Drosophila melanogaster: one gene and its partner. The protein of the gene in region 1 interacts with the protein of each later gene in a pairwise test. Each region holds a gene or a part of one and is shown in the gene's direction. Other genes may lie near its edges.

Region 1 (4,962 bases):
TTTGATTTAGCTGCGTAGTATCTGATAGTCGAGGTAATCGACTAGAATTTGTTTCCTTATTGGACGATAAGAAATTTTGTACCGTAGGCAAGCTAAGTTTACATACCCTCTCAAGTAAAAACATCTCATGTAATTTTACAATATTGTCCGTATGAACGTGTGACCCTCCATGTCCCCCCATGCCCCGCCATGTCCGACCGTGTCCCAATGACGGGACTTGGCTTGGTGCGGGCTGACACGAATCTCGATCTATATGTGGATATTAGTAAACACATGTATGGAATGTCATGGAGTTCTCCTGATAATCGTGTTGGTGACAGGTAACAGCAGTGCGTTATACAGCGAAACAAGAACTATAGATTTCTTTAAGCATGGAGATGGCATATCCAGAGCCATTCCATTAAATATTCCCCCTCTAGGTAGACCTTTCTAAAAGCTATCGCAGGCAGTAACCCTCTAGTCCTCGTCCTACACAAAAACTCGAATATCAAGTGCGACATTCTGAGGGATTGTACTGAAAAACACAAGATTCACTTTGCTTTTCGCAGCCACTTTCTCATCTTAATGATCATATTCTTTCTGCAACAGCGTAAATACTTGCCACCCATCTCCAAGCTTCAAAGTGGCTTAAGTCCTGATCACGGTCGGTATACGTAAATATACGTATATTTATTTTTATTATATCATTCATTCAGCGTGGATAATTAAGTTTCGAAAATTTAATTTGAGGCATTTTATAATGAAGGGAAATTCCAAAAAGACGAAACACAAAAAAATATTCGATTTTTACTAGTCTACCTTTAAATTTTCCCACTTTGTGGTTTTCCATATCTGGGAACAGAAGCCTTGGTAAAGGTAAGTTATAAAACATATAATTAATTTGAGGTACAATGAAGTCGGTCACGGAAAGAGATTAGCAAAAAAATGTACACAATGGCATTGGTTTGTGTCCTAGAGAAATGCTGCCTTGAATTAAAATGATTCTTTAGAGTTTAAGCCATGAAAACGAATTTTCAGCCGGTTTAATCATCAGAAATACATTTTATAACGAAAATCTATTGAAAAACCATAGATTCATTTGATGTAAAAGTTTCAGGATCGGATTCTTGAAGGTGACTAAATTTGTGAGCTCAGCGTACTCTTCCTTTAATCCGTTCAAATAGTTCAAAGCCTGCATATAAAAATCCTACATTCCCATGCAGTTCTTTGGTACAAATATGACAATTTGTGACAGTACAAATCCCAAAGTTGTGGATAGTCTCTTCGAGATTATCATTAAAACGATTCTCAGCTAGAGAAAGCGCAGTTGGTAAAATCGTTTGAGTAAAACCAAGTTAAGAAGAGACTTCTGAAAATAAACATATATATATTTATAATAAAAAATGAATAATAAGAAATATATAAAAATTGATGGTTTAAGTTTTTGCTATCTGAAGTAGTTATGATTGTTTGCTACAGATTTCTGTAAAATCTGAACAACAATAGAGAAATATAGCTCCTTCAACGTTACAAAACCGTAACACAAATGTAGGTCTGAGAACTGTAATTCTAAATTGGCATTGTAGTGCTTATGTATGCCCATTTTTTCTCCAATGAGCGTTGAATAAACTATTTTTGGCTGAATAAAGTTATATTTTGATAGAAGCTGAACAAAAGTGATCGTGTTAATGGTGTTTACAGAAGTTCTATTCAGAAATATATAATTATACAAATGAAATGTACGAATATCAAAGGAATATATATTTTTTAATAAAAATCCACGTATGCCATACATGGTACAAAATTGCCAATTAAAAATATTACAGAGCCCTTTTTGTTGGACACTAACCTTCGGTACAAAACGCAATTGACCTTCCCAAGCTCCCAACCCTTGTCCAAATCTAATCGCGGATTTTCTGGTGCCAGTGGGGAGCCATGAGGCATCTTTGCTTTGTCCATCGACGGTCACACTTACGCGTGTGAAAAATGCAATTACACTCCGTCGAAGAAAATATACTTTAGCCGCGTAAACATTGCAAGCCCATAGAAATGGAGATGGAATCTGACAACAGCGACGATGAGGGATCGATCGGCAATGGATTGGACTTGACCGGCATTCTTTTCGGCAACATCGACTCCGAGGGCAGACTGCTGCAAGATGACGACGGAGAGGGGCGCGGGGGCACCGGTTTCGATGCGGAGCTCCGGGAAAACATTGGTTCCCTTTCCAAGTGAGTACACATGCTTGTACATACATATGTAAACCCGGTATCATTCAAATATATCTTAATTCACAAGATATAAGACACTTTTAATTACATTTCCATTCATATTGCGTATGGATTACTTTCAGATTGGGTCTGGATTCTATGCTGCTCGAGGTTATCGATCTCAAGGAAGCCGAGCCTCCGTCGGATGACGAGGAAGAGGAGGACGCCAGACCGTCAGCCGTCAGTGCCAGCGAAGGAATGAGTGCCTTTGATGCGCTCAAAGCGGGCGTTAAAAGGGAGGATGGCGCCGTAAAGGCTCAGGACGATGCCATTGACTACTCTGACATCACCGAGTTATCCGAGGACTGCCCACGCACTCCGCCCGAAGAAACAAGCACTTATGATGACTTAGAAGACGCCATTCCCGCCTCCAAGGTAGAGGCCAAGTTGAGTAAGTAAGACCGTAATCTACAACGGTTTGATGACATTTAATTTAACCAGTTAACACTGGTAGGAGAGGATATTGCTCAAATTTTTAAAGGTCTATGCAATTCCTGTCAAAGTGACACGATTACTTTTGCACCGCTCAGGTTGGGTTCAGACCTATTGCTATACAGAGAGAATAACTCACATTTTGTTGCAGCTAAGGACGACAAGGAACTAATGCCTCCACCAAGTGCACCAATGCGCTCCGGCTCTGGCGGCGGCATCGAGGAACCGGCCAAGTCAAATGATGCATCTAGTCCCAGTGACGATTCCAAATCTACCGATTCAAAGGGTAAAAATTATTTGAAAACAATAGAATTTTTTTGTCAATGGTCATTCCTTTAAGATGCGGATCGGAAGCTGGACACACCACTGGCAGACATACTGCCGTCCAAGTACCAGAATGTGGATGTGCGTGAGCTCTTTCCGGACTTTCGTCCCCAAAAGGTGCTACGCTTCTCCCGTCTCTTCGGACCCGGTAAACCCACGAGTTTGCCCCAGATCTGGCGACACGTGCGCAAACGCCGCCGCAAGCGAAATCAATCCAGGGATCAGAAGGTAGAAGATCAGAGTACTTTTAAACGGGACGGGATCACCAGGAAACTTTTCGTAAACCATTTCAGACGACAAACACTGGTGGTTCGGACTCTCCAAGCGATACTGAGGAGCCACGAAAGCGGGGCTTCAGTCTGCACTATGCTGCAGAGCCAACGCCAGCGGAGTGCATGTCCGACGACGAGGACAAATTGCTGGGCGACTTCAACAGCGAGGATGTGCGTCCAGAAGGACCGGACAACGGCGAGAACAGCGATCAGAAGCCAAAGGTGGCTGACTGGCGGTTCGGGCCTGCACAGATTTGGTATGATATGCTAGAGGTGCCCGACTCTGGAGAGGGGTTCAACTATGGCTTCAAGACAAAGGCAGCAAGCACCTCGTCTCAGCCGCAACTCAAAGATGAACGCCGTGTAAAGAGTCCAGAAGATGATGTCGAAGATCCAAGCATTGCGGATGATGCCTTTCTCATGGTCTCCCAGCTGCATTGGGAAGACGACGTGGTCTGGGACGGTAACGACATCAAGGCAAAGGTGCTCCAAAAGCTTAACTCAAAGACAAATGCAGCCGGATGGTTGCCCTCGAGCGGGTCGAGAACGGCTGGCGCCTTTAGCCAGCCGGGCAAACCGTCTATGCCCGTGGGAAGTGGAAGCTCCAAGCAGGGTTCGGGAGCATCAAGCAAAAAGGCCCAGCAAAAGTAATTAATTGAAAGTTGAATTCATACGTATTTTACACTAATATTTCAATCGATTTTAGTGCTCAAGCAAAGCCAGCGGAGGCACCTGATGACACCTGGTATAGCCTTTTTCCAGTTGAAAATGAGGAGCTAATATACTACAAGTGGGAGGACGAGGTAATCTGGGATGCCCAGCAAGTGAGCAAGGTGCCCAAGCCGAAGGTACTCACTTTGGATCCCAACGACGAAAACATCATTTTGGGTATTCCTGATGACATAGATCCCTCTAAAATCAATAAGAGCACGGGTCCTCCACCTAAGATCAAGATACCGCATCCTCACGTAAAAAAGTCTAAGATCCTACTTGGCAAGGCGGGTGTGATCAACGTGCTTGCGGAGGACACACCTCCGCCGCCACCCAAAAGTCCTGACCGTGACCCCTTTAACATATCCAATGACACGTAAGTCTCTTAATATAATAATGGATGCAGAATGCAGATTTTAATTCCCTTTCAGTTACTACACACCGAAGACAGAACCCACCCTACGACTTAAGGTGGGCGGTAATCTTATTCAACACTCGACTCCGGTGGTAGAGCTGCGAGCTCCGTTTGTGCCTACGCACATGGGCCCGATGAAGCTCCGCGCCTTCCATCGCCCCCCCCTAAAGAAGTACTCCCACGGGCCAATGGCCCAGTCTATCCCTCATCCTGTCTTCCCACTGCTGAAGACCATCGCAAAGAAGGCGAAGCAGCGCGAAGTGGAGCGCATTGCCTCCGGTGGCGGAGACGTCTTCTTTATGCGCAACCCAGAGGATTTAAGCGGAAGGGACGGAGACATCGTACTAGCCGAGTTCTGCGAAGAGCATCCGCCTCTGATAAACCAGGTGGGCATGTGCTCCAAGATAAAGAACTACTACAAGCGTAAGGCTGAGAAGGACAGTGGGCCGCAGGATTTTGTTTATGGAGAAGTGGCCTTTGCGCACACAAGTCCCTTCCTGGGCATCCTGCATCCTGGCCAGTGCATACAGGCGATTGAGAACAACATGTACCGAGCGCC
Region 2 (3,606 bases), on another chromosome or scaffold:
ATGGAGGATGGAATCTGTGAGTCAAGGGATTGTGAGTCTATTATTTCATTGGCTATCTTGTGCACCAGGTGCCACCTTTGTTAGCTTGTTTTGGTTGAGGAACAGCTTCATCAGCGTCTCGCACTTCTCTATGATGCCCGGAACGTCGGAGATTTGGTAGTGGGACAGATTCAGGGAGAATGCCTTTTTGTATATGGCATCCTCGCAATTGGCCAGCACGTAGTTGTTGCGGAAAAACTGACAAACCTTCTCCATGTCGCCCTTATTAAGTGTTTACTTCTGCAGCACTTGAATTTGGTTGTCTTGGGTTCCAAACTATTTCACACTCTTTGGAAAACCTACTCTGTTTTTGGCGCTAGTAGCTTAGTTTTCAGGCCTTGTCTTTTGTAGTTTCGAACTGTCGCCCGATTTGCGCGTTTTTTCGTTTGTTTTGAGTGCATGTTATATAACGATTCTCGGAGTCTATATATGCACAAAAATCTCTATTTGCTGCACTCTCTTTTGCCTGCCTTCTCTTCCCAAGCTGATGAACTAAAATTAAAAATTTCATTTCCTGGGTAAAGGCATGCGCAAAATGCTAGATATTGGCAATAGGGTAGTTCTATTTTAAAATTGGTACATTGTCGCTTGTAATGTTTGTCGCACAAGGAAAGCTCAACATTTGACATTACCCATTCTCAGCTGCTAATTGGCAAAAAGCTCGTCTTTCTATCGGTTTATATAAATAGATTGTAAATTACCGAGCCGCTCTCAGTTGAAATTGAGCTCAGTGACTGGAAACTGCATCATGAGATCGTGTACTTTACTTGTTTTCATAGTGAGCACGCTGTTGTTTGCCGGTAAGTCAAGTGTGGGAACCACTAGAACCGCCACATCCATTCAACACTCTCTCTCTATTTTTCTCCAGTGACAAATGCGCAGCAGAATTATGATGGAAGAAATGGTCCCCATGAGTTCGGCACACCTGGAAACGGCATTTACATACGGGGTCAGAACGAAGGACCCTACACAGTGCCCGAAATGGGAGGAACGTTCCAAAACTCACCCTCAAGTGGGCAGCATTCCTACACCGATGAGCACGGAAATACTTACACCCATTCCTCAACGGCAACTGTCACAAGTTTGGCCTATTCAACCTTCGGTTTCAGCATGGGCGGCGTTCTCATTTTTCTAATTAGTTTAATAACCATTTAATTGCACTTTCCAAGTGCAAAAGTTCCAATTAATTAATTTTTAACACATCGTTTTTCAGTTCACGCCCACGAAAATCTATTGCTGAAACTGCATAGATGAGAATAACCATTTTCCTTCTAAGTATTATGCACTATTATTTATTCGCTATTTCTTTTGTTCACCTTATACACAAATTATTTAGCTATTAAACAGAAGTACAACAAAGTATACTTGATTCTTTTGAAAAGTGCGCCATTTTAGTTATCGATTGGCAACAACGTAAGGGAGAGATTTAACGTATAAGAAATATTTGAAACGTTGAAGTGTGATTTTTAACTAAACATTAAAATACAATCAAAGATAATTATTGTTATAATTATTTTCATACATATTTTCAATGAAATACTTAAATGCTAAGAACGTAACGATAAACGTAAGACCCAGCCAGCTATCGATAGTTGCGGCAAAATGCAGCGCTGACTTTGCCATTCTCACAAAACGAGCCACAGGTACAACGACGAACGCGGTTGCATTACATTATTATTATTATTACTATTAAATTAATTTCCCGCTCTGTGGGTATGCAATTAAAACCCAAAGTTGAGCCCGTTCAGCAATCTTGAATTGAGTCACTGAAAAATTCACCGGAGTCCACAATAAACCATCTGTAAGATGGACCAAATGCTAAGCCCCAACTTCTCGATTCCGAGCATCGGAACGCCGCTCCACCAGATGGAAGCGGACCAGCAGATAGTGGCCAATCCTGTGTACCATCCTCCGGCTGTATCGCAGCCGGATTCGTTGATGCCGGCACCCGGTTCCAGTTCCGTGCAGCACCAGCAGCAGCAACAGCAGTCGGACGCCAGTGGGGGATCAGGTCTCTTTGGCCACGAACCATCGCTCCCGCTGGCGCACAAACAAATGCAGAGTTACCAGCCATCGGCCTCCTATCAGCAGCAGCAGCAGCAACAGCAGCTCCAGAGTCAGGCGCCCGGCGGCGGTGGGAGCACTCCGCAGTCCATGATGCAGCCGCAGACGCCGCAGAGCATGATGGCCCACATGATGCCCATGAGTGAGCGGAGTGTGGGCGGTTCGGGGGCCGGAGGTGGCGGAGATGCCCTGAGCAACATCCACCAGACGATGGGCCCCTCCACGCCGATGACACCAGCCACACCAGGTTCCGCTGATCCCGGTATTGTGCCACAACTTCAGAACATCGTGTCCACGGTTAATCTGTGCTGCAAACTGGACCTCAAGAAAATAGCATTGCATGCGAGAAACGCCGAGTACAATCCTAAGCGATTTGCGGCTGTGATTATGCGAATCCGAGAGCCCCGGACCACCGCCCTTATTTTCAGCTCCGGCAAGATGGTGTGCACAGGGGCAAAGAGTGAGGACGACTCCAGACTGGCAGCGAGAAAGTATGCGCGCATCATCCAAAAGCTCGGTTTCCCTGTAAGACAAGACTTTACATTTCCTTTCTCTTCCCGGCGAATCTCTAACGCTTTCTCTCCCGCAGGCAAAGTTCCTCGACTTTAAGATTCAAAACATGGTCGGCTCCTGCGATGTCAAGTTCCCCATACGCTTGGAAGGCCTGGTGCTGACCCATTGCAACTTCAGCAGCTACGAGCCTGAGCTATTTCCCGGCTTAATCTATCGTATGGTGCGACCTCGAATCGTGCTCCTCATCTTCGTGTCCGGAAAGGTGGTGCTCACTGGAGCAAAGGTGCGGCAGGAGATCTACGATGCCTTCGACAAGATATTCCCCATTTTAAAGAAGTTCAAGAAGCAGTCATAAATAGGATAGCGCTTTATTAGTTCTGTACGTGTACGTTTTAAGGTCGGTAGTTCTGGAAGTCTGATCATATGAGTGGGAGCAGCCTGGCGAGCAGCTCCGATCGAGAATAAACCACAAAGTAATTTAGCTGTACGGACAGGCTTTTATTATTATTTTTTTTCCGTTAATTACTATTCGTAAAAATTTAGACAAGGACTATGAACGCGAATGAGGTTCCTACAGGCACTGGGCCATCAGGGCGCCCACGTTGTCGAACTCGATCTTCTCCGTAATGTTCTTCGTCTTGATTTTGTCGTCCTGCATGGCCACGATGACGAGTCCCTGGCCCTGGTTCTTCCAGCCATTGCGCTTGATCCAGCTCTCCAGCGTCGAGTCCTCGATGCCGCCGAGCAGCTCCTTAAGCAGGTCCTTGCGAATTGTCTGGAATGTGGTGCCCACCACATGCGAGACGAACTTGCGAATTGAATCGTGGAAGCCGGTGATGTGGCGGAACATGTTGCGGTTCACCTCGGCCCGCTGCCAGAAGAGGGTGAAGTCCGCCCGCTCCAGTATGTCGGCGAGGTCGATGATTGTCTGCACATTCTCGTCCTTCATCTGCTGGGGCAGCAGCAGGCACTTGGCCATCACGAAATCCG

The links. The genes of interacting proteins can lie anywhere in the genome.
Region 2: the proteins of Taf1 (region 1) and Tbp interact in binary tests that used the Drosophila melanogaster proteins (3 or more experiments, as listed by UniProt).

Annotation. Positions count from the first base shown.
Region 1 is NT_033777.3:6,644,962-6,649,923, forward strand, and holds the start of Taf1 (TBP-associated factor 1), read left to right. Parts: upstream 1-1,927; 5' UTR 1,928-2,028; coding exon 2,029-2,210; intron 2,211-2,332; coding exon 2,333-2,640; intron 2,641-2,703; coding exon 2,704-2,967; intron 2,968-3,021; coding exon 3,022-3,233; intron 3,234-3,298; coding exon 3,299-3,924; intron 3,925-3,983; coding exon 3,984-4,364; intron 4,365-4,419; coding exon 4,420-4,962. UniProt on the Drosophila melanogaster protein: TFIID is a multimeric protein complex that plays a central role in mediating promoter responses to various activators and repressors. Largest component and core scaffold of the complex.
Region 2 is NT_033778.4:21,685,692-21,689,297, reverse strand, and holds Tbp (TATA binding protein), read left to right. Parts: upstream 1-1,655; 5' UTR 1,656-1,845; coding exon 1,846-2,628; intron 2,629-2,692; coding exon 2,693-2,971; 3' UTR 2,972-3,106; downstream 3,107-3,606. Other genes in the region: CG10307 (uncharacterized protein), read right to left, coding at 1-14, 76-255; BaraC (baramicin C), read left to right, coding at 788-839, 908-1,194; eIF3k (eukaryotic translation initiation factor 3 subunit k), read right to left, coding at 3,188-3,606. UniProt on the Drosophila melanogaster protein: General transcription factor that functions at the core of the DNA-binding multiprotein factor TFIID.